Linked DNA regions of Macaca mulatta. The protein of the gene in region 1 interacts with the protein of each later gene in a pairwise test. Links are inferred from orthologs where the notes say so. Each region holds a gene or a part of one and is shown in the gene's direction. Other genes may lie near its edges.

Region 1 (3,853 bases):
CTTCACTGGATCTCAGTAACCAATTTTTAAAGCTTACAATCAGTTCTGGGAAAAACATAAATTAGATATTAGGAGAGAAATGATTATCTGACTATAGGTGTTAATAGAAAATGTTTATGGCTTAATAAACTGAAATTAAATTAAATCATGTAATATTGACAAATTAAGCTTATTTAGACATTTAATAACATTACCTGAATTCAGATATGCTTTTATCTGGCTTATTTTGTTCACACTGAAATACATTTTAGTCCCATTGATCAATAACCAGTTTTTCTGTTCACATTGCTTAAAATTGTGTCTCTTTGTACAGAGAATCTGTTGGGTTTCATTTCCTGACGATTATTCATGAACGTTTTAAGTCATCAGAAAATACTGGAAAAGTTCTGCTACTCTATATTGACATGCTTTTACAAAGGAAGGAAGAACTGCTTGCCAAGGAGAAGATTGAAGAAATCATTTTAGGTCAGTAGGATTTTCGCAAGTGTTTTAGAAAGGTATTAATTTGTGTATAATTCTTAGAGGTCAGAGTAGTAGCAAAATCCTCAAGTCAACGGATTTCTTCCACTTTCTTTTTTCCTTCCTCCCTAATGGTCTTTTAACAGTAACACCTCACCTGTCCACATCCCACAAATTGGGCAAGTGGAATGAGAAACTAAGCGAAAATAAGAAAACATTGAAAACAAACAAACTTCTGAGCTTAAAGCTCACATATGGTGGAATATTGTAATGTTACAAGCCTAATTTCATATCTCTAGTTTGATCTCAATTTAGCTGTGTACCTTTGAACAAGTCAATTTCTCTGGACCTTGATTATTTTCAACTATAAAATGATGATTGTGAACTAAACTCCTGGTTTCTAATTTCTTTTCAGCAGCAGCATCCTTTTGTGATGCAGTCTTGTATGAACCCCACCCTGAATGGAATAGATTAGAGTTTTTCTGGTTAAAGCAGAGATGTAGAGCCAAATCTGCTCAGCATTCCCCTAATCCTCTGCCTCCCTGCAGAACTTCTGTACCCTGAAGAACATAGATAGTATGATCCCTTTCTTAGAAAATTATCTTCACCACCTTGTCTTTCCAACTAAGTGCATGTAGAGATATAATTGGATTGATAGTCACTAAATGTTAACTCTGGGGTTTATTCTGAATGGTGGCATTTTAGGTGATGTGTTGCTTTCTTCTAAATACTCTACCATATTGTTTGAATTTTTATAAGCACGAATCATGTTTCTATAAAAACAAAGTCATTAATTTTTTAAAGGAAGTCATCTGACTAGATGATCTCTAAGAACCATATTTTACTGATAACACCCTCCCTCCAGGCATTTACCAATTATTTTTAGACCCAGTTTTGATAAACTTGGTTATCCAGTTTTCCTACTCTTAGCATTTTAATGGTAGCACTTTGCAAATAGAGAAAAGGTTTAAAGGGAAGTATACAGCTAGCCTGACCATAGGGAGGAAAAAAACTCTATCAATTTTATAAAACAGATACAAATTTTTTAATATAGCAATCTGTACTGTATAACAACTCCCAAAGGCATCGCTGTGATATATTAATAGTACAATACAATAAAATAGTTGTTAATGTTGACCTCAAATGGTCAAGAAAAAGTTACATTGTGCTTAAGAAAACTAGGAAGTTTGTTTACTTTTTAGAAAATTTAAGAACTTTCATGAAAATATTTAGACTTTTTAAATTCAGAAGTGATTTTTATTTAAAGAAAGTAAACTGCCAGTTAACCAGAAAACTTGATTGTAGAGAATAACTCATTTTCCTAAAATTCCACTTGGACTAAGTTTTATTGTGACATCTAATTTACACTTACACTCTCAAAGTATTATAATATTTCAAGTAGACACATTTAGTAGCTGTTTACTCTCATGCGAGTGTTTTTAAGTAAGTCATGGAACAAACTACATTTGCTGATTGGGCTAGAGGGTCAGAGATTCTTAATGTTCTAGTCAAGACTTTTGTGGAAATTGATAGTTTATGCCAAAGGGCAGAAGAGGAGGTACAGAATTCTATTATAGTTTAGACTTTACCTTAATGTGCTAATGTATTTGAACTCTGTAAATGTCTAGACCAGAAACAATCAACGCAAGTTAAGATTTAAAGTAATAAAGTTTATGTGTAAGCATGGTCTTAAAGTATTTTACAAAGGCTTTAAGGCATAATTGGCCTTTCTTGTGAACTTGATCTGATCTATTTAGTACATAATAATATAAGCACTTCTTATTAATGATTTCTGGCATTGCTGTCTGCTCATTCACAATAACCTTATTAAGGCACCAGATGATAATCTAATTTGGAATGTGGAAAATAAGTTAAAAAGAGAGTAGGCTGGAAAACTATCACAGATTGATGGGAGAGTGACTGTGATTCTAGCAAACTCTGATTGCATTATATTATCAATTATGGTAGTAATCCTAAAACTGATGGTGAAAACCTGTCTGAATTTTTTTTTGTGTAGCCATTACTTAAAGATTATAGGTTCTGAGTATAGTTAGCACTCTTTACTTAATGTAATAGACCTAGATTCTTGTTTTCAGAGCTTTCTTTTTTATTTTCAGCTCACCAAACAGGAAGACAACTGACAGCAGAATTAATGAACTGGTTACACAACATTCTGTGGAGAAAAGCTACCAGTAGTTTTGAGGTTTGAGAATAATCTCCTTTTCATTCTTTATATTATTTCTCCACTGCAACAAAAAATAGTGCATTCACTATAAAAAGAGCATCAAATACTTTAATAATCTGTCTGTTTAGATACTATATATTTATTAAATATTCACAATGTAGAGTGTTAATGAGCATTGTGCAAGAGTTTATTAAAAATAATGAGACATGATTCCTCTCCATTGAGGGCTTACAGTGTAGGGAAATGTCATTGCTGATATTAACATATAGGAATGTAATTTTTTAAACATGAGGGCTGAGAAATAGTTTTATTCCCTTTAAAAAGTTATGGTGTAATAATAAAATGGGGAAAAAAAAGCCTTTACAAGACAACTCAGGTTTCCTGCAAACTTAAAAATAATTTTTTTAAAGCAAAGAGCAATCATTTATAATTTTGGTATATTTCCTTCTAATCTTTGTGTATTATACATTTATGTCCCTGTGTATATAAATCAAATGGGACTTACCATTAAAAAAAAAGTTGTGTTTGCTTCCACTTGCAATTAATATGTAGTAACAGGGACTGTTTTATGTCCCTTCTTGAACAATAAATCCCTCTCCACAAAGGACAAGACAAAATAGACGAAAAGAAAAAACAATGACTTTTATGGCACTGAACAACAGGTAATGAAGGAGAATGGTCCCTGGGAGATAAGAAATAAAGCGAGCATTGGCCGGGCACAGTGGCTTACGCCTGTAATCCCAGCAGTTTGGGAGGCTGAGGCGGGGAGATCACAAAGTCAGGAGATCGAGAACATCCTGGCTAACATGGTGAAACCCCGTCTCTACTAAAATACAAAAAATTAGCCGGACGTGGTGGCGGGCGCCTGTAATCCCAGCTACTCGGGAAGCTGAGGCAGGGGAATCGCTTGAACCCAGGAGGCAGAGGTTGCAGTGAGCTGAGATCGCGCCACTGCACTCCAGCCTGGTGACAGAGCAAGACTCTATCTAAAAAAAAAAGAAAGGAAGGAAGGAAGAAAGAAAGAAAGAGAGTATTACAATTGTGCAGCTTACTGCTTTGAGTTTCCAGGATATAGCACAAGAAGGGGATCTGAAGCAGAGCCTGGCAAGCGTCCTGATTTGAGATGTAGCTGAGTCTGAGGAGACTAAGGCAGCTGGAATTTATAAGACAAAGTACTGAAGAGGACCACATAGCATAGATTAGGCATTG
Region 2 (3,026 bases), about 32 Mb from region 1:
CAAAACCCTGTCTCAAAAAAAAAAAAAAAAGAAAAGAAAATAGTGTCTGAAATTATTTTGTTAATTTTTCTATAGTTTTAAAGTTTAAGAAGTGTATACTTATGAAATAACTAGACACCAATACTAGTTTAGGGCCTCCACATTACTACATAGATTACAAAGCTTCTCCCTTAGCCAGGTTGAGCTGTCCCCAACAGACAGTTTTCATATTTATTTAGTATTTGTGTTCTATTTTCTTCCAGATAGATTTGTGGGGACTGACAATTTAAGTAATGCAAATTAATTTTATTATGACAACCGAGAAAAAGAAATATGTGTTGTGTTTTGAGGTTATCGTTTCCTTGACCATCATAAGCAGCCTGATATCTACTTCATCTTTGTTCATAATCACAGCACACCTTTGAACACATACCAAAATGATGATGGAATGAGAGCAAAGTATGTGAGTCAATTGGCTGCTCTGCGAAACAGTTTGTTAGTTTTAGGCTATAGTTCTTTTCAATTTTCAGCCAAATTCTATAAAAATCTTAGCTGGAAGGAAATGCAAATGTCAGGTTGCATTTTAGAAATTAATTTTTGGGCTGGGTGCGGTGGCTCTTGCATGTAATCCCAGCACTTTGGGAGGCCGAGGTGAGAGGATCACCTGAGGTCAGGAGTTTGAGACCAGCCTGGCCAACATGGTGAAATCCTGTCTCTACTAAAAATACAAAAATTAGTCGGGTGTGGTGGCGCACTCTTGTAATCCCAGCTGCTTGGTCGGCTGAGGCACAAGAATCACTTGAACTCAGGAGGCAGAGGCCTGGGCCTCTCCAGCCTGGATGACAGAGCAAGCCTGTCTCAATTTTTGGCCCAATTACCATGTAGCATTAACTTGTTCCAGAATGTGTAATATTACTGGGAAGACAGCATTGGTAGTGGTCAAAGTGATTTGTAGTTCACAAAGCATGTGGGCATTCTTTTTGAAGAAAGTAAACAAAATAATTTGAACTATTGTTTCAGTCATTTGAGCTGTATGTACAAACGGACTATGACACAGCTAAATTAGTCACAACTGTCCACCACAGGCCAACTTCAAGATAAAGGGTTATATATCAGTTAGCAATGCTCCCTTACAACCAGCCCTGATGTGTTTGTAAGCAGGAAAAAAATTTTATGGTTGCAATCAACAAAGAAATATCAGGCCAGTCCACCAAGCCCAGCCAAATCCCATATCTCGCTCCAGTTTTATAGAGATTAGCGTATCACATGAGCCAAATGCTGTTCCCCAACTTAGAATGTGATGTTGCTATTTTGCAGGGAAAGTGTAAGCCCTGTTCTGCAACACTGATGAAATAGAAGTATTCGTAAATACTGTGTTTAATGTGGTCCAATAATTGAAACATAAAATAGATATCTTGTAACAGAACATTTTTAAAAGTCAAGAAAGATAAGAATTAGGCCTTGGAAAATAAATGACTATGAAGAAAGATAAAAATAAAACAGACTGGGGTGTCTCTGAAGACCCTGCTTAGAGGCCTTGTCCTCCTTGCGGCAAGCGGCCATTGCCATGGAAACCACAGCCGCAGGGCTATCTGTCCGAGATTGTGACGCCCAGATGGGAGTGGTGGGAGGAGACAGGAAGAGGGTGGTGACCGATGGCCGGTCCTCTTTCTCCAACACCTAGCCTGAGACTTCGCGGCGCGGCTGCAATCCTGAACTAGCTTGGTAAGGGTTGTGCCCTGAACCAGCATAGAGAGACCTCGGACCAGCCGCCTTGATGACAGCATCCGCGTCCTTTTCATCATCTCAGGGTCTCCAACAGCCCTCCATCTACAGCTTCTCCCAAATAACCAGCAGCTTGTTTCTCAGCAATGGTGTAGCTGCCAACAACAAAATCCTTCTGTCCAGCAATCGCATCACCGCCATTGTCAATGCCTCGGTGGAAGTGGTCAATGTGTTCTTTGAGGGCATTCAGTACGTAAAGGTGCCTGTTACCGATGCTCGTGACTCTCGTCTCTGCGACTTTTTTGACCCCATTGCTGATCTTATCCACAGCGTGGATATGAGGCAGGGCCGCACGCTGCTGCACTGCGTGGCTGGAGTGAGCCGTTCCGCCTCACTGTGCCTTGCGTACCTCATGAAATACCACTCCATGTCGCTGCTGGACGCCCATGCATGGACCAAGTCGCGCCGCCCCATCATCCGGCCCAACAACGGCTTTTGGGAACAGCTCATCAATTACGAATTCAAGCTGTTTAGTAACAACACCGTGCGCATGATCAACTCGCCGGTAGGTGACATCCCTGACATCTATGAGAAGGACATACTTGCAGTGATATCAATGTAAGCCATCCCGGCCAGCCCTTGACATCTGCCATCGATCTGGCACCAAGACTGAACTTGAACACTGACATTTTGTTAGTAAAGAAAACCGGTTGGTGCCTTGTTAAGGGGCAAGAAAAAAAGGGAGGGGGTTGGAGTTTTGAATGTAGTAAGCCTTACCTTAATAGAATTAAATTCACGAAATGTAAGATGGTGAAAATGTTTTTTATCTTGTGAGGTCAAGCTATTGGGGCCTGGCTGGAACCAGGGTGCGGCAAGTGATGCTCAGCTCACATAGACCTGCCAGCAGCACCCAATACATGTGGCAGGCCTGGAATTCTGAGCCCTGCCGGAGGCCGACTAACTCAGGAGTGAATCCCCTAGAATCTCACCTGGTTCTTTCCAAACCAAAGTCAAAGCCTTAGACATCTTGGCATCCCTTGCACTTCTCCCGGTAAGTGCCAACCTAGTGGATAAGTGACTTTCATTCAAGCTTTGCTCCAGGAGCTCTGGAGGAGGCTCAGGCTACCCTTGCCCGCCTTCAATCACAGTGGCCCATCTCTGGTTTTCTAGATTGAATTTATACATTAGTTAAAAAAAAAAAAAAACTAGTTTTTTAAAAGACCATTCCACTCCATAAAGTTTAAAAATACTGTACTTTTTGAGTGCTATACTTGATGGCAAGGTCTCAAGGTGTCTTTGGTGATCTCCCACCAGCCTTTGTG
Region 3 (4,288 bases), on another chromosome or scaffold:
GACCTTGTTCAAGTATTTTTATCCTTGTAATTAAACTAGTCTGTTTACCAAAAGTTGTTTTGTTTGCAGATACTGTTAATATATTAGTCTTTACTTATAAATCTCTCTGCTGCAGAGAAAATGATGTGGAAAATGCAAAGAGAATAAGGAAAAAACTAAATTCAGGCATCTTTTTAGATAAATGTGATTGTCTACCAAGACTTTCCAAACACCACCTTAGTCCCTTAGGAAATGGATTCTGCAAAGATGAAAAATACATTTTCTTTTAATTTCTCTATGGAGATGTGATGAACACACAAGTAATCTGTGGTCATGAACAATTAGAGCTTGAAAGTTAGTCCCACTTCTAAGTATAAAGAATAAAATAAAAATCACCCATAATCCCACCATTCAAAAATCACTACTCAATATTTCAGCATATTTCCTTCTAGTCTTTTTTCTACTTTAAAAATCATAATAGGCCGGGCACTGTGGCTCATGCATGTAATCCCAACACTTTGGGAGGCCAACACAGGTGGATCACTTGAGATCAGGAGTTTGAGACCAACTTGGCCAACATGGTGAAACCCCTTCTCTATTAAAAATACAAAAATTAGATGGGTGTGGTGGTAGTAGGTGCCCATAATCCCAGCTACTTGGGTGGCTGACTCAGGAGAATCACTTGAACTGGAGAGGCAGAGGTTGTGGTGAGCCAAGATCATACCACTGCACTCCAGCTTGGGTGACAGAGTGAGACTCTGTCTCAAAAATAAATAAATGAATTTAATTAAATTTAAAAACATAGTAAATAGGCTATCTTTTTATGTTTAAGAAGTTTTTCCCCTCATCCCCAGGAAAAAAGTTTCTATTATCCTCCTGTCCTGCAATGTATTCATCCCCTTCAAAGGCAACTGAAGTCATCAACAGAAAAATCAAATGACGCTTTAGCCACTCCGCTGCTTTCTTTCCTACTTGGAGGATAAATTCTTCAATTAAATTAAAGATTAACAAGGCCTTGGTAATTAGCATGCATCCTCTTAGTTGCAAAGATGGCTTAGCTATTCTCAGCTGTTAGTTTTTTTACAAAGGTGCTTGCAGTGAAAGCGTCAAGTTCAAGACTTCTCTAAACCTCTGCTCTACATCTCTCTCTGTGTTAATAATCTTCCTGGTGTTAGATATTTGTTTAATGATCAATAGTGGCTTCTATTCCTATCACTGAGTATTTCAGAAAGCAGCATAACCAAGTCAATGTTTAACTGGATTCTTTGGGTCTGAAATGGCAAAGTTGAAGGGAAGTCTCCATGGAAACCAGCCTCCCAGGAAGTGGCCAAAAGGGTTAGTGTGCAGTGAAACAGAGCTAGAAGGATGCCATGAAGGAAATGACTGCTTTGTAAAGCCAGGGTAAACTTCTGAAATGCCTTGATTAAAACAAGCTATATTAAAGACCCCAAAACCACTTTCCTCGCAGCTTTCCTCTGAATGTCTTTCACATGAAATGGGCCTGAGTCACTCTAAGACTCACCCGAGGGTGATCAAAGTAGCACCTTTGCAAAACAAAGAGGTAGAGACTCCCTCAGCTGGCCCTGTGGACTTTGCATTCAATCAGAATTTGGAAGAAAAGACTTCACATTCACTGGCAAGACTGCAGGACCAGAATAAAGCCTTGGAAGGGCAGCTGCCACCTTTACAAGAAAACTGGTATGGAAGATACTATGCAGGTAAACATAAAACCCAGCATGAGATGTGTGTATCTGGACCAAGGAGCATTATTAATAGATTTATCTGACTGTCTCCATGATCTCAGAAAGTTTCTAAATTACTGAAATGTAGAGGAATTTAGGCTATCTTTGAAAACTCAAATCTTTCAAAGAGGATTGAATGTCAATTGAAAGTATTCTGGGTGCATTAGAATGGGAGTATAAACTGTACAAAGGGCTTTTCACCATTCCATATGAGAAGGATAAATCATTTTGTTTCAGCTCAGTTTGTAATGCTTTCAATATTTATACCTAGCTTTGACAGACCATTAAAATTATATAGATACTAATGTGATAAATGATAGCAATCGCATTTCAGTTAAATTCTAAATTTAAATCATTCTCTCCAGTATAGTTTTATGCACCGGGCTTTGTGGTTTTGAAAGCAGCACTTTAAGAGTGAGTTAATTCTAACATGAATTTTGAAACCACCCTAAACAGAATTGATTTATTACAGTACATTGGAGTGGATGAGTCACCCTTTTCCCAACCCCACATTCTTCATGGTCATCTGCAGAACTAACAGAATTCTTTCCCACTATGATTGGAAGCTCTGAGCCTGAAGTGGCTATAAATTATCCTGGAATATTTTATAAGCCATGTAAAATGTTTTATCATGACCACAATGATAATTAAACAGACATCTTCACTTAGAAAAATATATGTTTATTTTTTATATATATATATGCATATGTATATTGTTTTCCCTTTCCTTCACCTTCTGGATCAATAACACAAATAAGTTTCCCTTATTGGATGCCTCATTCAGAAAGCCTCACATTCTCTTTTGGTACCTAGCAAATCTTGCCTGGAATGATTTTTCATGTCTACTGTCTGCAGAATTGATAACCTTTGGTTGTTTCTATATGGCCTATTTTTATGTTCTTTATGGTCTTCAAGTTCTTAAGCACATAGATGGGAATTTTCCCCTTAGGAAATTTTTTATGACAGACGAATAGGTGACAAGACACGATTTAAAAAATGGAGGGTGAATGTGCACTAAGAGTATGCAATGCTCCTACTGAGGAATTCCCTTTTTATCCAAATCCCCATTGAGAGTTTTAAGATTTTGGTGATAGAGAGAGACTCTGTTTCAAAAAAAAAAGATTTAGGTAACTGAATAAATGGTGAAAGCTGATTCATGTGCTTTAGAGTCCCAACTGGAAAACATGCTTATGTCTGAAGTGACAAAATCACATTGAAAATAAATAACAAGGAGATCATGAGGATTCTCATGATGATCTCCCATATTCTCACCGCAGCTCCATCAAATACCAAATCGAACGACCTTGGGCAAGTTACTTCATCAATTTTTTTCACTTGTAATCAGGGGTAAAAATAAATGCCTGACACAGCCTATGCCATTTGAGGAGAATCTAATTAAATAATGGACTAACATCACTAAAATAAAAAAATAAGGATTAGTAAGATTTCTGAAAAAATAGCTGAAAATACTTACATTTTTAAATCCAATATGTTTGTTGTTTCCATCCTGCTCAATATGCTGGCATCTTTTCAAAAGAAAATAAGGACATAGTTTGCATACCACTAAAAGTCAGAGAGAACAAAGTCCTTAAAGCGGTCATTCACATGTCTTAAAGAGAAAGATGCATAATTATCCATGGATTTTTCCATTTAAAATGCAAAGTGGGACTGTAAAATACTCTGTGAAACAATCTAGAAATCAGAATGTGTCCAGATTATTAAAAGGGAAAGACAAGAACTGCACTCATGCAGCGTTGGTCATGGTAGCACTCCCAAGAGCTCAGGATAATCAAGCTGGAAAATAAAATCCATAATGGATCTGTTGAGCCTCTCTGTTTCCTAATAGAGGCTTAACTCTGTATCCCTGGCTTGTTTCATCAGGAAAGAATATTGATATGCTGTATTATAGTGGCAATCTGTGGAAATTTTTTTCACTAAAGGGGCTATTGAATTGTGTTCACACATACTCCATTTCTGTCTCATCTCTGTATAATCACCTATCTATCTATCTATCATCTATTTCATCTAAGAAGATTATTTTCATTTTTTAAAGTTATATATTTTTCTGATGTCTTATATTTCAGTGAGGAGATTTTATGGAATTAAAACAAGTCAATAAATTTCTATTTTCCAGGCCAAATTCTGTTTGAAAAATATTTGCAGTCAACATATTGGTAATTTTGTAATTCTTCCCCTAAATATGAACCTGAGTAGGAAGTTAGGAGAGCAGATATTAAATCCCAAGTCTAGACTAAAACAGTGTCATTTGCACTAATGTAGGTTCCCTGCTTTCTGTGTTTCATCTCCACATTCAACCTACAGGTTAGACATATATAACTGGAAAGGTACAAAATTGTGTTGATAAAGTCTAGTAACTAATGATTACCTGATCTAATAGTAAATTATATTTAACGTTTTATTCTTGTTTCTTCTCCAATCCTTCAAGCATCCAGAGATGTGGATTTTGACATCCCACTGGAACACAGAGAAACAAGTATTATTAAAAGGCATCCACCCCAAAGACTTCAAGTAAGATGAATTTAAAAGGCTTCATAAGGAATTTCTTG
Region 4 (4,341 bases), on another chromosome or scaffold:
TGTACATGAAACAAATACAATCTGCAAGACGGAATAAAATTAAATGCTAAATTGAGAACAGTCATTTAGAAAGTCTTTCTGAAAGAGATGGGAATATATTTAATTTCTGAAGGATGGGCAGGAGATGGCATTTAAAGTACAGAAATCATCAAGCACAGGAACAAATTTGGATATTCATGGGGCAGTGACCAACCTGACTGAAGGGTGGGTGCATGTTTGAAATCAACGGGAATACATTTGAATGATAGGAGAAAATACATTATTAAGGCTTTGCCTCTAATCAGAAATAAAGATATTCTCTATTTTCCCAAATAAGGAATTCTTACATAGAGCTCAATGTATTTAAACATTTTTAAATGGGCCTACAGAAAAGAGGTGGGGCTGACGGAAGTAAATAATGAAACCTGAAGATAAATTTAAAAATATATTAACGTGGGCTCAATTTTCCATTGTTTTTGGAACTTAGTTTTGTTTTTGAATAATAAGCAGTTAAATAATTAAAGCTTTGCCTTGGCAGTGCAAGGACTGAAGATTATTTTTCGGTGGCAATTTTCCAGACTTGCTAGTTGTCCTTGGGTCTTGGTAACATTCTGCTCATTAACTTCAGGAAGACATCCAGGAGTAAAGATGCATTTGAAAGTGGCTGAAAATAGTTTGTAAAGCTCAGCTTTCCTGGCTCGACAGTGAAATGACCGCACAGGCAAGTCACTGGGTCAAAAATCAATTAACGAAACAGGGGAAGTTTTCATGTCTTTATTTTTACATTAGCGCGAAAATCACAACCAAGAAGAAAGGCAACCACTGAATAGAGGAAATACAGTATTGTTATTGCTGTTTTTTCTCTCTTGGCAGGCTGGGTCGGGTGCCTTCCAGCCTCTCTGTGGATCCCGCGAAGTGGACGGTTCGCTCCGTGGCTTCTTCCCCGACCCCGCCACCGCGGAAACGGTCACTCGGTGGCCCCCGACTGGGTCAATGCGAGGACGCCCACCTCCTACCTTTGAGCCTCTCCTCTTCTCCAGGGGACAGCCAACTCTTTCTCCACCCTAGCCGGAGTCCGAGAGTTCCAGTCCCGCCCCTCCAGCCCGCCTCAAGCCAGGTGGGGATGCGCCCGGCCCGGGCCGACGCTGGTCCCGGCAGTTCCGCGTCTGCGCAGCGGGCGAGGGGCTGGAGCGGGGCCGGCCGGGGAGGCGCAGGAGACGCGGGAGCCAATGGGCACGCTCGGGGGAGCCGGGCTGGCGGCGGCGGTGGCGGCCAGCCGGGCGCGCACTCTCGGGATGGAGGGCGAGCGCCGGGCATCTCAGGCGCGCTCCTCGGGCCTCCCGGCCGGGGGCGCCGACGGGGAGAGCCCGGGGGGCAGCGCCCCCTTCCCGGGCAGCAGCGGCTCTTCCGCGCTGTTGCAGGCGGAGGTGCTGGATCTGGACGAGGACGAGGACGACCTGGAGGTGTTCAGCAAGGTGAGGGCGGCGGCGGCGAGTCCCGGGAAACTTCCAAGGCAACTCCGGGAGTTGCCAGCATTGCGCCGACGGCTGCCTCTGGCGCGCTCGCCCTCCCGGGGCGGCGGCTCTGAGCTGGGGACGGGTGAGGTCCCCCGGGCTGCTGGATCCCGCCTGCCAGCTCTGGCCGCAGCCGGGGCCGCGTCGCCTCGGGGCCTCAAACCGCAGCCGCTCCCTCCTCCGTACTTTGACCTTCCGTGTGGCGGGGCTGTGGCTTCGTGGAGTCTGCAAAGTTGTGATTTGTTTTCCCTTTCTGCTTCTCTGACACAGACATCTCCTCGCGGCAGCTCCCGAACCTGGGAGGCTAGTGGCTCGAAACCGCCCCCGCCAGCTGCTTTTCGGGCGAGGCCAGCCCTGAACTCTGGGAGAGAGATTAGCCGAGTTTAGAGAAATTATTCTTAATTTAGTGTTGTTGGTTGTGGATTTGAGACTTGGGTGACACCCGAGGTAAGTCTCAGGTCCTGTGGGAATAGGTTCGAGGAAATCTCCCTGAACAGGAGAAAACGGTTGTTTCTAACAGGAAGCTCCTCCGCTGAGGAGCTAAGAATTTTTCAGATGGTCAGCTACTGCCACCCAACCCACAGCCGGCGCTTTCGTTTTTCCTTGCCCCCGGGAAATTTAGGACCAAAGGCTCTTCTTTCCTTATTTTACAGTTGGAGGGAAATTGACTTGTGTGGGCTAGTGGTAGACTTTTGGTACGTGTAGACTGGTGGCTGTAATTTCTTAAAGGGTTTTAGAAAAGAAAAATACCTTTCTTGCAGGGAGGTTGAATGTCGCTCCAGTTTCTCAAGTTGCTGCTGAGAGAAGACCTGAGTTCAGATCACAACGCTGTATTAATTACTAAGAAGCCTGTTCATTTTAATGTTACCTGGAGATGTTAGGTAAAGCAAACGACCTCTTAACCACCGCATTTACTCTGGGAGAGCAAATCCAAGTTAGGAAGTGAACATGCATACTCTGACTCCAAAAAGGAGTATGTAAAACTTATTTCTACTTCGGGTTACATGGAATGATAGGCCCAGGTTTGTATTCCGAATATTTAAACAGACTATCACAGTTTTGTGCTCTTGACTTTTCTATTAAATAGTAAAACAATGGAATTATTTTATATTTAGTTGTAAAAGGTAAACGCTGCCTTTTTATATTCCACACATACTTTATGTTCAGATCAACAACAATTGGCCAGTTAGTGATTTACTTTCTTTTCTTCTTTACATTGCTGTTTAGACAAGAAATATTAGTCTATGGTGATGCATTGTGCAACTTTCAAAATGGAATGGATGGGATCTTGGAAATGGCAATATTGTATCAGAAAAATCGGGGTTTCTTTCTGTTTTTCTTTTTTTTTTTGTCCAGGCTGGACTCAAACTTCTGGCCTCAAGGGGTTCTACCACCTTCAGCTCCCAAAGGGTTTGGGATTACAGACTTGAGCCAAAGTGCCTGGGATTGTTTTAAACCTGTCAAGCGGTTTCTCTTTCCCCAGATTCTAAGTGTCCTAGCTGGCTCTTAAGAATCGATGTTTAAATGAGGTCCTCTCGTCAGAGGCAGATCTAAGGTGAAGCTAATGAAATTGAAGCTTCAGCGCTATTCGTTTGCTTAGACCTCTGGGCGTGTTGGGGGTTACTGGAGTTGCAGATGTTCTAGGTGGGAAGGAAATGACAGGTCCCAACCAGAAGCATTTCTAAATAAGCATTTCTGGTGAATTGCCTAAAGCTCTCTCAGACTAAGGAATGTAGATCTCCATGGCTCCAATCATTTATTGAGATTTCTTTTCTCATCTGAATAATTTGTTTTTCCACCTAATTTTGTATTCTTTTAAAAGTGGACCTTCCAAACTCTATGAGCCCGTACACCTGGGTCCACCCTGCTTTTTCGTGTTAACTGCGCGTCTTGGATGCTTGGAAAAAGTTAAGAACAACGTCTGTAGAAACTGCCCACATAGATTAAGGCAAAGATAATAATATTAGTGAAAATCCAAAAAGAATAGTTGGAAAAGTTTAAACTTAGCCACTTTTATCCATTTCAGTAAGTTGAATTTCTCAACCGTTATCTGTAGTTAAGCAAGCAAATTTAAGAAAGGCTGCTCCACGTGGCCTTCCCTTTCCACTACTCCCTTCCTTGCCTGCTCTTCTATAAAGCAAACACCACTGCTGTTCAGCCTACCCTAGGATGGAATCTCACAATTACTTACGAAGCAGACTGTCCTCCCCTTTAGTACTTTGAGGTTGGCAACCTGCATATTCAATTTACATTCACCTTTTTAGTCTCCTTATTCCCTTAGATTATTTATGAATATGTGCCTGGTGCCCTCTTCCAGAAGCTTTTTAAAGAGTATGAATTTTCCCAGCACTTTGGGGGGCTGAGGCGGACAGATCACTTGAAGTCAGGAGTTCGCAACCAGCCTGGCCAACATGGTGAAACCCCATCTCTACTAAAAATATAAAAATTAGCTGGGTGTGGTGGTGGGAGCCTTTAATCCCAGCAACCCGGGAAGCTGAGGCAGGAGAATCACTTGAACCTGGGAAGCAGAGGTTGCAGTGGGCTGAGATCACACCACTGTATTCCCTCCTGAGTGATGGAATGAGACTTGGTCTCAAAAGAAAAACAAAAAACTTCGTATTATTTCTTTTTTTTTTTCCACAACATATTACAAGTACATGACAAATACATATTTTTGTGTTAAGTATGATTAAAAAAAGAAATACAAGATTTAGTTCTTGCTATCACAATTTTACAGTTCAGGTGGGAAGATGGGACAGAAACTCTAAATGGCAATACAAATCAAGAGGGATGGAAAGTAAAACAGAGTTGTTCTGAATTTTCATATAATCCAGTGAGCAGAAAATGA
Region 5 (4,438 bases), on another chromosome or scaffold:
TAGACTTAGATCACTGCAAAACTGCAAAAAGACGTCAAAGAGATCTTAAAAGCAACCAGAAGGAGGAAGGATGGGAAAGAGGAAAGGAAGAAAGGAGGAAAAGAAGGGAGAAAAAGATTGAAAGTACTTGATTTTAGATGCAAGTAATGAAAAAATTAACTAGAAACTAAAAAATTCTAATTCTTATTCAGATCGAAGTAAGGTTCCGCTGAGATTCATCATGATTCATCATTCACGACAGGGAAGTTTCCTGCTTAAGATGAGTGAAAACCTTGAGTAAGAGTATGTAATGGAGAAGGAAAGCAGGGAACACACACACACAGTTTCAACTGCAATCTGAAAAACAGAAAATGAAAAATAAATTATCAACTAATGACAATTTCCCCAGAAAATCGAAGAGCTAAGAAGAGAGGAAAACAACACCTAGTATTTATTGAATGCAAGAGTTTTTAATAAAAACAATGTAAAAAGAAACTGAGTAGGGACGTACTAACTATATCACAGGAAAACCTTCGCTGGGAGACGTCGAAAAGTAGAAAAAGAACGCCCAAGACAACCAACCTCGAATATGGACTATTTACTCAACATAAAGTTACTGCTATTACAGCCTATTCGAGATGAAGGCTCCATCCGTAATTCATGGCTGCTCACTATGATGATGATGATGATTATTACTATTATTTGTGGGTGCACATTGTATGTATAGATCAATTACATTAGAATGACGATTAGACGGACTGCAAACTACAATATGTAAGTGGCTATTGACACTATTTGTGCATCTTTTAATCTGGGAAATGCATATTCACTCCACAGTCTCAGTATAAACCATTTCAAAATTACACGTAAGACAACCAGGTGTCTCTCTTATATTTTAGGAGTGAATAATGAGGATAAATTCCAGCAGAGAGTTCTGGTTTAAGTAACCCAAATTCCCCGAACTTTGCTGATTATCCTAGCGTTTAGAACCTTTGCTATTTGCCTGGCACTTCTTGAAACCCATGACTCACAAACGCCGGGGCATGGAATCACAGCAAAGAACAGGTGAAAAGTTGTTCCTAGTTGTGTTATGCAGGCGCACACAACTCCCGCCATTCTCTGTGCAAAAATCAACAAATAAACAGAGGCACCGCATTTCGGATTCTGTTACGCACTGTTTGCAATGGCGCCTGGTATTGGTAGTTTCTACGAGGGGAGCCGCCAGCGCGCCAACCCTTGCTCAGCAGGAAGAAAACTACATTTCCCACAAAGGCACGGGGGCGAACACCGGCCGGCTTACGTCATTCCTTTAACCAACCAATAGCAGTTCCGGGCGGCAGTGAGGCAAGCGCCGTCAGGCGCCAAAGTGGTTTTTTTTTTTTTCTCTTTTTTTTTTTTTTGCCGGAGTCGAGCGGGTGCTGCTAGCGGAGGCGCCATATTGGAAGGGACAAAACTCCGGCGACAGCGAGTGACACAAATAAACCCCTGGACCCCCTTGTTCCCTCAGCTCTAAGGGCCGCGATGTTGTACCTAGAAGACTATCTGGAAAGTGAGTGCGCGGCGCTGGCGGCGGCCGCCGGTGGGACCTGCGGGAGGGCAAGAGCGCGAGTGGACGGGCAGCGAGATGGCGGGAGGGAGGGGGCGGCGGGGGATGTTTCTCTCTCACGGTAACTGGCAGCCTCGTTGTGGGCTGCCGGCCCCCTCGACCCCCCTGACGCACGCGCGCAGTGACGTAAGCGCGTATTTCGCCGTTGGCCCCGCCCCTCTGACGGACTCTCCCTTTGACAGTGATTGAGCAGCTTCCTATGGATCTGCGGGACCGCTTCACGGAAATGCGCGAGATGGACCTGCAGGTGCAGAGTAAGTCGGCGCGTCTGCTCTTCATGTTGGCTGCGCGCGTTCAGTGCCAGACTTGCTTTTCATCACTGCTAGCGCCTAATGCTCTTTCACTGTCCTCTGGCTCACTCCGCTAGTGCATAAGGAGTTGTCAAAAAGAACTGGCAGCCCTGAATCTCGCCTTTTCCTTCCCTCCCATGCTACTTTTTTCTGGCTTTTGCAAGAGGAGGCGGCATTGGGACAGGTGTATTCCTTTCTAGAATGTAGGATTGTGCAAAAAATATTTCTCTACCGTCATTGAGATAGTTATCTATGTTTCAATGCACGTCAGCATAATAAATGTTGAGATGTTGTCTTGAGCCTTTTCGTATCGAACTTAGATTTCAGCATTTATACTTATTTTAAAGTTCATCCTATTCAGTTTTTCAAGAGTGGAGAGCATAGAAGCACAGGTTATATATAGCTCTTTAGAGACCCTGGCGAATGTCAAATTTTGAAAACTTAGTTACACATTATAAGGTACATTTTAAATTGTAACAGAATCGTCATTTTCTTGGTTATAATGAGTGACAGAAATTAGATTTCACTGTAAAGTTTCATATGTGCTGTACTAAAAATTTTAGCAGTTAGTGAACATTTATTTTTCTTTCAGTGATAGCTTGGTAGTCTCTGTGACTTTTTCCCCAAATTAACTTTACTCTTTCGTAGAGCAAGGACTATAAATAGGTGGCTTAGGGACCACTTGCTGCAGCTAAGAACCTGTCCTTTTCACTGCCCCTGTCTTCTCTGCCCGTGACCACACACCCACTTCTATACCCTTTGTTTATGCGTATATTTTTCCAGTAAGTTTCAGGTGGCACATAATAAAAAGTGGTGGCATGGAAGCCACCTTCTGTTCAGTGGATTGTGGTATGAAGTATGAATTGTGTGTGTGGTTCTCCAGCTATCTCACAAATTCATTTTAATTTTAGTGTAGTCGAAATGCTAAAGATTTGCTGAAGTATTTTCTGCAGGACTGAGCATAGACATGGATGTCAGATAGATCTGAGTTTGTTTTAGGGCTTTACTAATTTACTCATTGACTCTGACTGTATTACCACTTGTGTGGGGCTTTCATTGTCTGTAAAAAGAGAATCATCTAAGGATTTAAAATATTACAGATGGATTAGAATTTATAGTATCTGATACAAAGTAGGCATTAAATAAAGGGTAACTTATTTTAAATTTATTTTTATATTTTGTTTAAAATTTTAAATTCTCATAATTTGGGCTTACAGTATACATATTACAGGGTTTTTAAACGTGCATTTCTTTACAGTAACGAATTTTCTGAAGTTAATAGATATTATGGATTAACAGAACAGTGTGCCAAATAAATTCAGAAATGCTTATTTAAACAAAGGAAGATACTGAAAATTAACCATAGTACTTCACAGAGTCTTTAAAAGGCTATTGTGGACTGAAAATCTCCAAAAGAAGTATGCTATGAAAAGATTTTTCTCAACTTACGTAACAACAGAATCCTTTTTATTAATTTTTCCTTTTTTTTAAGCAGACATCCAATGAGATGATTAGTCTTAGCACTTAATTTGGGGAAAATTTATCTAGAATTAATGTTTAAATGATTGCACCTACTACTTTCAGTTGGGATATGACATGATGAGATGTTTAATGCCTTATACCAAATCTTTTTATCACTTTTTCTTGTTGAAAGAAATGTGAGGATTATCTAATGGTGTTTTCATTGTGTTTTGGTACATTTGTCTGATTAACACCTATAGCTTTTGACCCCAAGGCTGTATTGCTCAAAAATTATAGGATAGAGCCGATCTACTTTGTTGACTCTACTTTGGCTATTGGAAAAAATTTTGAAATAACAAAAACAAAAATAATCTGTCAATAAGGAAAATTGTAACTTTTTAAAGGAAGGTAATTGAGGCTTTATATATTTACATAATCAAAGCATAACATATTTAAGTTACTGGCAAAGTGAAAGAGTATATATTGTCAGATTTTTTTCCCTCCCTAAATCAAACCATGTATATTTAGTATATGAATTTGGTCATTTAATATGATTTTTTTATTATGTCATAGATGCAATGGATCAACTAGAACAAAGAGTCAGTGAATTCTTTATGAACGCAAAGAAAAATAAACCTGAATGGAGAGAAGAACAAATGGCATCCATCAAAAAAGTATGTGCGACACTTTGGATAATTTATCAAGAAATATTGGGACCCTCTGAAAAAGATATTTCAAAATTAAATAGTGATCTGGATATCAAAATAAGGGAATATTATCAATGACTCTTTAGAATGTAAATAATTTAGTGTGGTTTAGAGCTTCAGATAGCGATTTTTAGTCATTAAAGCATTTTGGTAATTAAAAATATTGTTTCAATAATTAGTGACTATTAGAAAGTGACAGACCATTTAAAAGTTACATTTTTTTTCTATTTGTTTTATTCTAGTTGTGTATGATTAATGTTGAGTCATTTCCAGAGATGGAGTACTGTATTCCAGTTTTGTCCACAAACTAGCGTAAATAAACATCAGCAGACCTTGAAGAATATTTTATATATTGCTAGGTACTTGAATTAGTGGACCCACAGAAGAACAAAATC
Region 6 (4,490 bases), on another chromosome or scaffold:
CAGCAAAATACAGCTGGCTCCCACATGTCATTTCATTGAATGTCATTTCATTATAACGTTGATGATTTTTTAAAAATTAATTTTGGGTTGGGACCACCATCCGTGTGGAGTTTGCATGGTCTCCCCATGTCTGCATGGCACGTTTGAAAATTTTCATAATAATCCACTTTTTTTTTTTTTTTTTTTTTTTTTGGTGAGACATGGTCTCATTCTGTTGCCCAGGCTGGAGTGCAGTGGCACAATGTAGGCTCACTGCATCCTCAACCTCCTGGGCTCAAGAGATTCTCCTGCCTCACAGCCTCCTGAGTAGCTGGGACTACAGGTCTACATCACCACACTCAGCTTTTTTTTTTTTTTTTTTTTAAGACGGTCTCGCTCTAATCGCCAGGCTGGAGTGCAGTGGCACGATCTCTACTCACCGCAACCTCCGCCTCCCGGGTTCAAGTGATTCTCCTGCCCCCTGAGTAGCTGGGACTACAGGCGCATGCCACCACACCTGGCTAATTTTTATATTTTTAGTAGAGATGGGGTTTCACCATGTTGGCCAGGATGGTCTCAATCTCTTGACCTCGTGATCCGCCCGCCTCGGCCTCCCAAAGTGCTATTTTTTAATTTTTTGTAGAGATGGGGATCTCGCTATATTGCCCAGGCTGGTCACAAACTCCTGGGCTCAAGGGATCCTCCCACCTCAGCCTTTGAGTAGCTGGAATTATAGGTGCACATCACCATGCCCAGCCAATTTTTTTTGTTTGTTTTGTAGAGACGAGGTCTTGCTATTATATTGTCCAAACTGGTCTCAAGCAATCCTCCTTCCTTGACCTCCCAAAGTGTGGGGATTACAGGCATGAGCCACCACCGGGGTCCGGCAATAATCCACTTTTAAAAATAAGGAATGGGGGGAATAATAGTACCTTCCTCATGCAGTTGCTGTGAAAACCAAAGGAGAATGACAGCCACAGCCGCCCCGCAGCAGGGACTGGGCACTTCTGGGTGGGCATCCAGCACACCTCCCGGCCTGTGCCTTCCGTTTCTTCTGTGTGTCTCTAGGCCAATGGCAGCAACTGACTACAAGTAAGGGAATCCCTCGCCTCCCTGCAAGCTCCTCCCCTTTCTCCCCGAGCCCCGCCCTCTGCAGCCCCTGCCTGCAAGAGTGGGGCTGGGCCCGGCAGGTGTGGGGTTAAGAGAGTCTGTTTGGGGCCCCCAGGAGCAGCAGCCTAAGCAGTGGCTGCAGCAACTGCAACAGCAGCGGCTGTGGCAGGCCTGGCCCCGGGCCAGCTGGCGGGAAGCCCCAGGAGGGAGGGAGGGAGGAGGAAGGGGAGGAGGAGGGGAAGGAGGAGGAGGAGGAGGAGGAGAGGAGCAGTCAGCAGGCCCGAGGAGGCAGGACTTCCTGGTGTGGGGGTTGTCAACAGCTCAGAAGGAGAAAGACGGAGAGGCAGAGACCCAGGGGAGCGGAGGAGCGGAGACACGGACCCAGCGGGGCCACGCGGGAGGAGACTCGAGACACCCACTCGCTGGCTGCCACCGGGAGCAGCGGGGGGCTCGGCCGCCCTCTCCCACATCAGTCTCCAGACCCCTGGGGCTTCAGCGGCCGCTCCTGGGCTCCTCGGAGGAGCCGCGGGTTCCTTCTTTTCCGGAGAGCAAACTTTCCTCGGAGATGCCTCCCAGGATGAGCTGAGGCCCCCGGAGAGGACGGGGCAACCTCTGATCGCCGCCTGCGTGCCCCGCCACTCCCCCTGGCCAGAAGGCCCCAGGGAACGCACAGCCCGACCTCTTAGGCGCCGGGACCCTCAGGCTCAGATCAGTGGCTGAGGCCCCAGAGGTAGGATTCGGGGCTGGGTGGGGCGCTGGGGGTAGCCGGGCAGGGCCTGCCCCAGGGATGTGGGAGCTGGGGTGGGCTCGAGGCCCAGGAGAGGTCTCTCTGAGTGGCCGGGCCAGGCTGGGGAGCTGCTTCACCCCGGTTCTCCCAGGCCCTGGAGTCCAAGCTCTTGGGACAATACCCGCCCCCTGAGTCAGAATCTCAGATGAGAAATGCACAACTCTGGAACTCATCTGCCTCTTCCTACTCTGAGCGCCTTTTTGGATCTGGTCCCCTCTGCCCTGGTCTCTGTCATCTCTTGCCTGTCTCCGGGTCTCTGACGGTTTCCCCTTCCCCCACTCTGCTCCCCGGAGAGGAAGCCCCGGAGGTGGCCTGCCCACTGGTTTCACACACACACACAGACACACACACACACTCTCTCTCTCCCTCTTTTTCCAGTTTGCAAACTCAGCTCTGGAGTTCAGCAGCAACAGCAGCAGGAAAAACCTGCCCGTGCTCCCCCCTCCCGCCACCTCCCCTCTCCTCTTCTCCCCTCACCCAGCAGGCACCCCGGGTTCCCACCAGGCCCTCCTGCCATGTCGGACCCAGACGTCCCCAGGGGCCCGGATGCCCCCACCATGTGGCCCCCTTGTTCCAGGGGTGCCTGAGCCCCTTCAAGGAGTCCCAACCCACCCCCAACCTTGGCCCAGCCCTGAGCCCCAGGGACCATGAGCGGGGGCAAGAAGAAGAGTAGTTTCCAAATCACCAGCGTCACCACAGACTATGAGGGCCCGGGGAGCCCAGGGACTTCAGATCCGCCTACTCCACAGCCCCCCACCGGGCCCCTGCCCCGCCTGCCCAGTGGGGAGCCCAGCCCTGATCCGGGGGGCAAGGGCACCCCCCGGAATGGCTCCCCACCACCTGGGGCCCCCTCCTCCCGTTTCCGGGTGGTGAAGCTGCCCCACGGCCTGGGAGAGCCATATCGCCGTGGTCGCTGGACGTGTGTGGATGTTTATGAGCGAGACCTGGAGCCCCACAGCTTCGGCCGACTCCTGGAGGGAATTCGAGGGGCCTCAGGGGGCGCCGGGGGCAGATCTTTGGATTCCAGGTTGGAGCTGGCCAGCCTCGGCCTGGGCACCCCCACCCCACAGTCAGGCCTGTCTCAGGGCCCCACCTCCTGGCTCCGTCCACCCCCCACCTCTCCCGGACCTCAGGCCCGCTCCTTCACTGGGGGACTGGGCCAGCTGGTGGTGCCCGGCAAAGCCAAGGCAGAGACACCCCCACTGTCGGCCTCCCCACCCCAGCAGCGCCCCCCAGAGCCTGGGACCGGTGAGAGTGCGGGCACATCCCGGGCTGCCACGCCCCTGCCCTCTCTGAGGGTGGACGCGGAGGCTGGGGGCTCAGGGACCAGGACCCCTCCACTGTCCCGGAGGAAAGCTGTAGACATGCGGCTGCGGATGGAGTTGGGTGCTCCAGAGGAGATGGGGCAGGTAAGACCTGGGTTCTAGGGCTCGCCCATCAGCCCTGGCCTAACCTCTATCTTGGGACTCCCTCCTCCCACCCCTTCTCCTCCCCTTCCTTCTCCCCCTCCTCCTTCCCGTCCCTTCCCCTCCCCTCCCCCTCCCCCTCCTCCTCCATTACTTGTCTATCAGATCAGACAGCCCTCTTCTCTGTGCCTGCCAGGTCACTCTGAAGCCCCTTCCTCCTCCTTCATTTTCTGTCTCAGCCTCCTTCCTGTTTTTCTGCACCCTCTCTCTTTCTCCCTGGCCTCTGATTCTCTGTCTTGGTCTTCATGTAGCCTATAGCATATGTGGCCCCCTCACCAGGCCTTCTTCTGTCTTGGTCTCAGCCCCTCTGCCTCTAGGTGATGAGGGTGGAGGCCTCAGCTGGGTAGCTGGGTCCCTGGGGGAGGAGCTGCCAGGATTTGGGGAGGAAAGGTAAAAGGTAGGCTTTGCGCGCTGCTAGTCTCTGCACTGCAGCCCCATCCTGAATGTAGGGGTCTTTCTTTTCCCCCAGCCACCCATCTCAGTCCTACCTCCAGCTTTGCTGTAGGCCAAGTGTCACTGAGAAATTGGGTGGGGGGAACACCTCTCAGGGATGGGGAGGGGGCTTGCTGGTTGATCCTTTTCACCCCCCAGTTGTCTGTCTCAACTCCCTCCATCTGAGCCTCTCTGTGATTGATAACTCCAGGGTGACCACCATGGAGTGGGGGAGAAAAGCCCCAGAAGGAGTTCAGTCCCATACTCTTTCTCCTTCCTGTCTCCAAAAGAGGAACAAGTCCGGGCTGGGGGGGCAGCATGCCTGGGTCCCCGTGGTGGGGGTGAGCAGCCAGAGACAAAAGGGTGGGATACTTCTGTCCTGCGGGGAGAATATAACACCTCGGAGGGCTGGGGAAAGGCAGGGGGTGTGAGGATGCGAACTCTTTCCCCTTCCTGGCCTTGGGCACAAACCACAGTATAAAAATAACCTGGGACTGGATGTCTGGGTCCTGTCAGGACCGGTCAGGACTGGCTCCCCCCAACCCCCTCCTGGCCTCAAGCTCACGTCTCTCGTGACGCCCCTTCCTACCACTCCCCACCCCCTCCCCGCCCAACTCTTCTTGAACTCCTGCATTCAGCACCCACCCCAGGGGAGAAGATGCTGTTTCTCTTCCTGTCCTGTCCCCAGACTCTTCCAAAGCAAACCCCCTTGGCCT
Region 7 (4,465 bases), on another chromosome or scaffold:
AGTGGTTACAACAGAAACCACACTCCTCTCTCTGCACCACTCCCATGGCCCTGCATGACCTGCCGTGCACCATATTCACTTTCTGACCTCCATACCCCCGCTCCACTCTACTCCAGTGGTGCTCTCATCTCCTCGCTGCTCTTTGACCAAAATAAGCCCGTCCCACCCCACTCCAGGACATCTGCACCAGCTATCCGGTAAAGCCCCCGCTCCTCGGGCTTTCCACCAGCTCACTCCTCGATCATCTGGAGACAGCTCCGAAGTCACCTCCTCAGAGTGGCTTCCCTGACCCATCACTTCCACATTTCATTGTTTCCTTCATTGCAATGAATAGGACAAAAGATTGTTTTTGCACTTGTTGATATACTATTTCCCCATTTTAATTTATTTTTATTTCACTTTTAGAGATGGGGTCTTGCTTTTTCGACCAGGCAGGAGTGCAGTGGTGCCATCACGCTCACTGCAGCCTCGACCTCCCTGGCTCAAGCGATGCTGTTTACCCATTTTAAAATGTGAGTGAAAGGGGAGGCGAGGTGGCTCACGCCTGCAATCCTAACACTTGGGAGGCCGAGGCGGGAGGATCGTTTGAGCCCAGGACCGGCCTGGGCAACACAGAGAGATCCTGCCTCTAAAAAGAATGTAATAAGTAGCTGGGCACGGTGGCGCACGCCAGTAATCCCAGCTACTCGGGAGGCTGAGATGGGAGGATCGGCTGAGCCCAGGAGGTCAAGGCTGTAGCGAGCTATGATCGCATCACTGCGCTCCAGTCTGGGCGACAGTGCAAGACCCTGTCTCAACACTATAAAAAATAAAGAAGAACTGGCCGGGCGCGGTGGCTCACGCCTGTAATCCCAGTACTTTGGGAGGCCGAGGCGGGCAGATCACCTGAGGTCAGGAATTCACGACCAGCCTGGACAACATGGTGAAACCCCGTCTCTACTAAAAATACAAAATATTAGCCAGACGTGGTGGTGGGCGCCTGTAATCCCAGCCACTTGGGAGGCTGAGGCAGGAGAATCGCTTGAGCCCGGGAAGCGGAGGTTGCAGTGAGCCGAGATCGTGCCATTACACTCCAGCCTGGGCAGCAAGAGCGAAACTCCGTCTCAAAAAATAAATAAATAAATAAAATAAGAACTGCTGTTTATCGCCTGTCCAGGGCTGATGTTGGGACAAGACTAGAGGGGATGAAGGTGCCCATTTTGAACCCGGACCTCTGTTCACGGAGTCGCCTGAAGTGCGCTCTGATTACCCTGGGATAGCAAGACTCCAACAGCGTCCAAGTTGCACTCCACGTTCACTCTGCCCTCAGGCCCCGCCCCCTATCCGAACGCCTTGCGCAGGCCCCGCCTCCAACCTCGCGAGAGCCGAGAGACGGAAAATGGCGCTGACGTGAGCGCGAGCTCGCATTGCCCAGAGGGTGGCCGCCGCCTAAGCTGGAGCCGCCGAAGCCGCAGGAACAAGAGGCCGAGCCGTGTCGAAGATGGTGAGCGCGGCACCGGGGTCGCGGGCGCGGCGGAGCGGCGGGGAGTGGCGGGAAGCGGCCCTGTCGCGCATACATCCTCCGGCCGACCCAGCCCCCACATCCGGGCACCCGTCTGCCGCTGGCTGTCACTCGGAGAGCGCCCTACTTCCGGGCCGGGCCCGGAATGGACCACGCCCACCAGGCTAGGACTCCGCCCCAAAACTTATTACATGCGGGTTCCTAGCACCTCCAAGATTGTCCACACGGCTCGCAGCTGGCCAGTGTTTCTCGGTCCTCAGACAATCCGTGTGTAGCTCCTCTAGCATCTTCCCAGTCGCTCCCTGCCCATAGCCCCGCCTCCGTATTCTTGGCCCCGCCCACTCCCTGTAGGCCACGCTTGTGTCGCATACTGGGGCTCCCACTTATCCTAGTTGAGGAGATGCTTCTCCCATGTACATAAGAAGCTCAATCTGGGCCAGTGCAGTGGCTGACGCCTTTAATCCCAGCACTTTGGGACGCTGAGGCAGGAGGATCACTTAAGACCAAGGGTTCAAGACCAGCGAGGGGGACATGGCGAAACCCCCATCTTTATAAAAAGGAAAAAGGAGCTTAGTCCAACCTTACGTATTCCCCTATCCTCTCCTGCTGGTGATTCCTTAGGATGGGGGCTGACTGGGTTGACCCAGAGCCCAGAAGGGTTATCTCTGCCTCTTCCTTCCACCAGGAGGAGAAACCCTCAGGACCCAGCCCAGACATGCCGGCCACTGCAGAGCCCAGCTCCAGTGAGACCGACAAGGAGTTGTTGTCCCCGGCTGTGCCATCTGCCGCCACCTCCTCCTCCATGGCGGAGGAGCCGGGCCCTGAGCAGGCAGCCACACCACCAGTGTGGGAACGTGGAGGGCTTGGAGGGATGCAGCAGGGCTCCTCCCCAGCCCCAGACAGCTGCCAGCCTGGCCCCGGACCCAGCCCTGGCCCGACCAGCATAGTCTCCGGGACCAGCGAGGACCTGCGGCCTCCCAGACGACGCCCACCTCCAGGTGATCTGTGATGGGACCTTCTGGGGAGTCACGGGCCCTGGAACAATAGAGGCAAGAAGTAGAGAATCTCTAACCTAAGGGCCTTTCTAGAGGGATGCCACTCATCATTTTACTGTGCTGCCAGTGGATGCCAGGCTGTGGCTCCAATGGTGAGCGTGGCCAATCCAGCCCCTGCACTGTGGCAGATCAGTTTGTTGTGGTAGGCAGAGAGTAGAGGCCCCAGCATCATATTTGCTTCTCTGGGGCAGAGCCCTGGGGTCAGGGACAGCACTAGTGAGGAAGGGACCAGTGACCCCTGTTCTGTGCGTCCTGCAGGGAAGCAAATCCCTTGCTCCAGCCCTGGCTGCTCCCTCAGTTTTCCCAGCGTCCGTGACCTGGCACAGCATCTTCGAACCCACTGTCCGCCCACACAGTCCCTGGAAGGTAGGGCCAGGACCGGTAATGGGGAGGCAGGTTAGGGTGGGAAACAGGTGGAGCCCCTCGGAGCCAGCCTTGACCACCCCTTTCCACTCCTCTGTCTTCATCCTTACCAGGCAAGCTCTTCCGCTGCTCAGCCCTGAGCTGCACCGAGACCTTCCCCAGCATGCAGGAGCTGGTGGCTCACAGCAAACTGCACTACAAGCCCAATCGCTACTTCAAGTGAGACCCTGACCTCTTGAGCTCCGCCCTGCCCTAGCCTCACCCTGTGTGTGGGCTCCAGGCCTTCCTCCCTTCCTGGTCAGGGTGTTGGAGGGCGGGATTTGATGTGGGTGGCCTTTTGGGGGAAGCCCCGCCCCTACATCGCTGGATGGGGCGGGGCATAAGTGGGGGTGGCTCCACCCCGCGAGGCGTTACCTCCCTAGTGGAAAACCGGCCTCCTAACTTAAAATTGAGACTTCTTTCCGGGTTTCCCCAGGAAACCAGCACCTGTAGTGGTCAGGAAGGGTCGCTGCCACGCTTGTACGGGAGCGGGGAGGCGATTGGTGCCCAGGCTCGGTTCCCACGCTCGAAGGGCGGGTGGCATTGCACAGAACCCTCTCTCTGGTCTCCCTGGAGGCCCAGCCCAGCTCTCTGCCCACCCCCAGGTGTGAGAACTGCCTCCTGCGCTTCCGCACGCACCGCTCGCTCTTCAAGCATCTACATGTTTGCGTGGAGAATGCGCAGAGCCCAGCCCCGCCACCACCCCCGGCCCTGGACCGAGAGCCGCCGGCGCCCGAGCGTCCCCCGGAGGTTGACCTCGCGTCAGCGCCGGGACTGCAGTTCCCGCTGCTGGAACCTTTCACGACCCCCGCCCCTGCCGCCACCGGACCGTTCGTGCCCTACTTGATCCCTGCGCCCTTTGGCCTAAGCCCCCCGCGCCTGTGCCCCTTCCTGGCCGCTGCACCCGGGCCGCCGGCTTCCAGCGCCGCCGTCTGGAAAAAGAGCCAAGGTGAGTATGGGGGTGGGGGTCACCAGGAGGGTGAGCTGGCCTCGCCCCGACTCTGAACTTGACCCGCCCCTTTACCGCAGGTGCTGGCAGCAGCCCCCGAAGACCCCAGGGCGGCTCCGGCGCGCCCTCAGGTGCGTGCAGGTGACCACCGGGGAGGGGTGGAGGGGCTTTCCTGCGCCCTGCGGGGTCCGGTGGATACCAGGAGGGAACAGTGCCTATCCCTTTCCCAGGGGGCCACAAATGCCACCGTCCCGAAATACAGAATTTTTGCCTTAAAAATGACTGGCACCTGCGCCTTCATCTGCGCCGGCGTTCCCGTGTAAACTTTGCGCCCCTTTCACCGTTCACCTCGGAGCGGGCTTCTCCCCGGCGGTGGATCTGGGGATGGTAGTAGGGGACGCGGAAAAGCTAAGTTGGGTGCCCCCAACTCTGCGGGCAGACAGACCCAGGTGAAACTGAACCAGGCGCCCGGAAGCTGATGGGGGGTGGGAAAAGGTCCCACCCACCCTCGCCGGCGTCTTCCATCCTTAGCGCACGGGTCTTCTGGGTTGGGGGAGC

Evidence for each region.
Region 2: the proteins of TEX11 (region 1) and DUSP21 interact in binary tests that used the Homo sapiens proteins (3 or more experiments, as listed by UniProt). The two-hybrid records come from large-scale screens. The link is inferred for Macaca mulatta from reciprocal best matches to the Homo sapiens genes TEX11 and DUSP21.
Region 3: the proteins of TEX11 (region 1) and CCDC198 interact in binary tests that used the Homo sapiens proteins (3 or more experiments, as listed by UniProt). The two-hybrid records come from large-scale screens. The link is inferred for Macaca mulatta from reciprocal best matches to the Homo sapiens genes TEX11 and CCDC198.
Region 4: the proteins of TEX11 (region 1) and SNX7 interact in binary tests that used the Homo sapiens proteins (3 or more experiments, as listed by UniProt). The two-hybrid records come from large-scale screens. The link is inferred for Macaca mulatta from reciprocal best matches to the Homo sapiens genes TEX11 and SNX7.
Region 5: the proteins of TEX11 (region 1) and ING3 interact in a two-hybrid assay, tested with the Homo sapiens proteins (2 studies listed by BioGRID). The two-hybrid records come from large-scale screens. The link is inferred for Macaca mulatta from reciprocal best matches to the Homo sapiens genes TEX11 and ING3.
Region 6: the proteins of TEX11 (region 1) and TSC22D4 interact in a two-hybrid assay, tested with the Homo sapiens proteins (2 studies listed by BioGRID and IntAct). The two-hybrid records come from large-scale screens. The link is inferred for Macaca mulatta from reciprocal best matches to the Homo sapiens genes TEX11 and TSC22D4.
Region 7: the proteins of TEX11 (region 1) and ZNF414 interact in binary tests that used the Homo sapiens proteins (3 or more experiments, as listed by UniProt). The two-hybrid records come from large-scale screens. The link is inferred for Macaca mulatta from reciprocal best matches to the Homo sapiens genes TEX11 and ZNF414.

What each region holds. Positions count from the first base shown.
Region 1 is NC_133426.1:77,171,422-77,175,274, reverse strand, and holds part of TEX11 (testis-expressed protein 11), read left to right. Parts: intron 1-313; coding exon 314-465; intron 466-2,576; coding exon 2,577-2,662; intron 2,663-3,853. UniProt on the Homo sapiens protein: Regulator of crossing-over during meiosis. Involved in initiation and/or maintenance of chromosome synapsis and formation of crossovers.
Region 2 is NC_133426.1:44,816,466-44,819,491, forward strand, and holds DUSP21 (dual specificity protein phosphatase 21), read left to right. Parts: upstream 1-1,636; 5' UTR 1,637-1,756; coding exon 1,757-2,326; 3' UTR 2,327-2,414; downstream 2,415-3,026. UniProt on the Homo sapiens protein: Protein phosphatase component of the sperm flagellar doublet microtubules. May act as a regulator of sperm motility by mediating dephosphorylation of sperm doublet microtubule proteins.
Region 3 is NC_133412.1:130,593,737-130,598,024, reverse strand, and holds the start of CCDC198 (factor associated with metabolism and energy), read left to right. Parts: upstream 1-1,215; 5' UTR 1,216-1,474; coding exon 1,475-1,697; intron 1,698-4,167; coding exon 4,168-4,250; exon of another isoform or gene 4,251-4,255; coding exon of another isoform or gene 4,256-4,288. UniProt on the Homo sapiens protein: May be involved in tuning the metabolism, energy expenditure, and excretion processes.
Region 4 is NC_133406.1:141,583,621-141,587,961, reverse strand, and holds the start of SNX7 (sorting nexin-7), read left to right. Parts: upstream 1-1,263; 5' UTR 1,264-1,274; coding exon 1,275-1,454; intron 1,455-4,341. UniProt on the Homo sapiens protein: Involved in the regulation of endocytosis and in several stages of intracellular trafficking. Together with SNX4, involved in autophagosome assembly by regulating trafficking and recycling of phospholipid scramblase ATG9A.
Region 5 is NC_133408.1:160,720,499-160,724,936, forward strand, and holds the start of ING3 (inhibitor of growth protein 3), read left to right. Parts: upstream 1-1,380; 5' UTR 1,381-1,500; coding exon 1,501-1,528; intron 1,529-1,767; coding exon 1,768-1,839; intron 1,840-3,909; coding exon 3,910-4,010; intron 4,011-4,438. UniProt on the Homo sapiens protein: Component of the NuA4 histone acetyltransferase (HAT) complex which is involved in transcriptional activation of select genes principally by acetylation of nucleosomal histones H4 and H2A.
Region 6 is NC_133408.1:47,677,145-47,681,634, reverse strand, and holds the start of TSC22D4 (TSC22 domain family protein 4), read left to right. Parts: upstream 1-1,398; 5' UTR 1,399-1,819; intron 1,820-2,254; exon of another isoform or gene 2,255-2,357; 5' UTR 2,358-2,523; coding exon 2,524-3,285; intron 3,286-4,490.
Region 7 is NC_133424.1:9,363,729-9,368,193, reverse strand, and holds the start of ZNF414 (zinc finger protein 414), read left to right. Parts: upstream 1-1,359; 5' UTR 1,360-1,480; coding exon 1,481-1,483; intron 1,484-2,186; coding exon 2,187-2,499; intron 2,500-2,814; coding exon 2,815-2,922; intron 2,923-3,032; coding exon 3,033-3,138; intron 3,139-3,563; coding exon 3,564-3,907; intron 3,908-3,987; coding exon 3,988-4,048; intron 4,049-4,137; exon of another isoform or gene 4,138-4,465. UniProt on the Homo sapiens protein: May be involved in transcriptional regulation.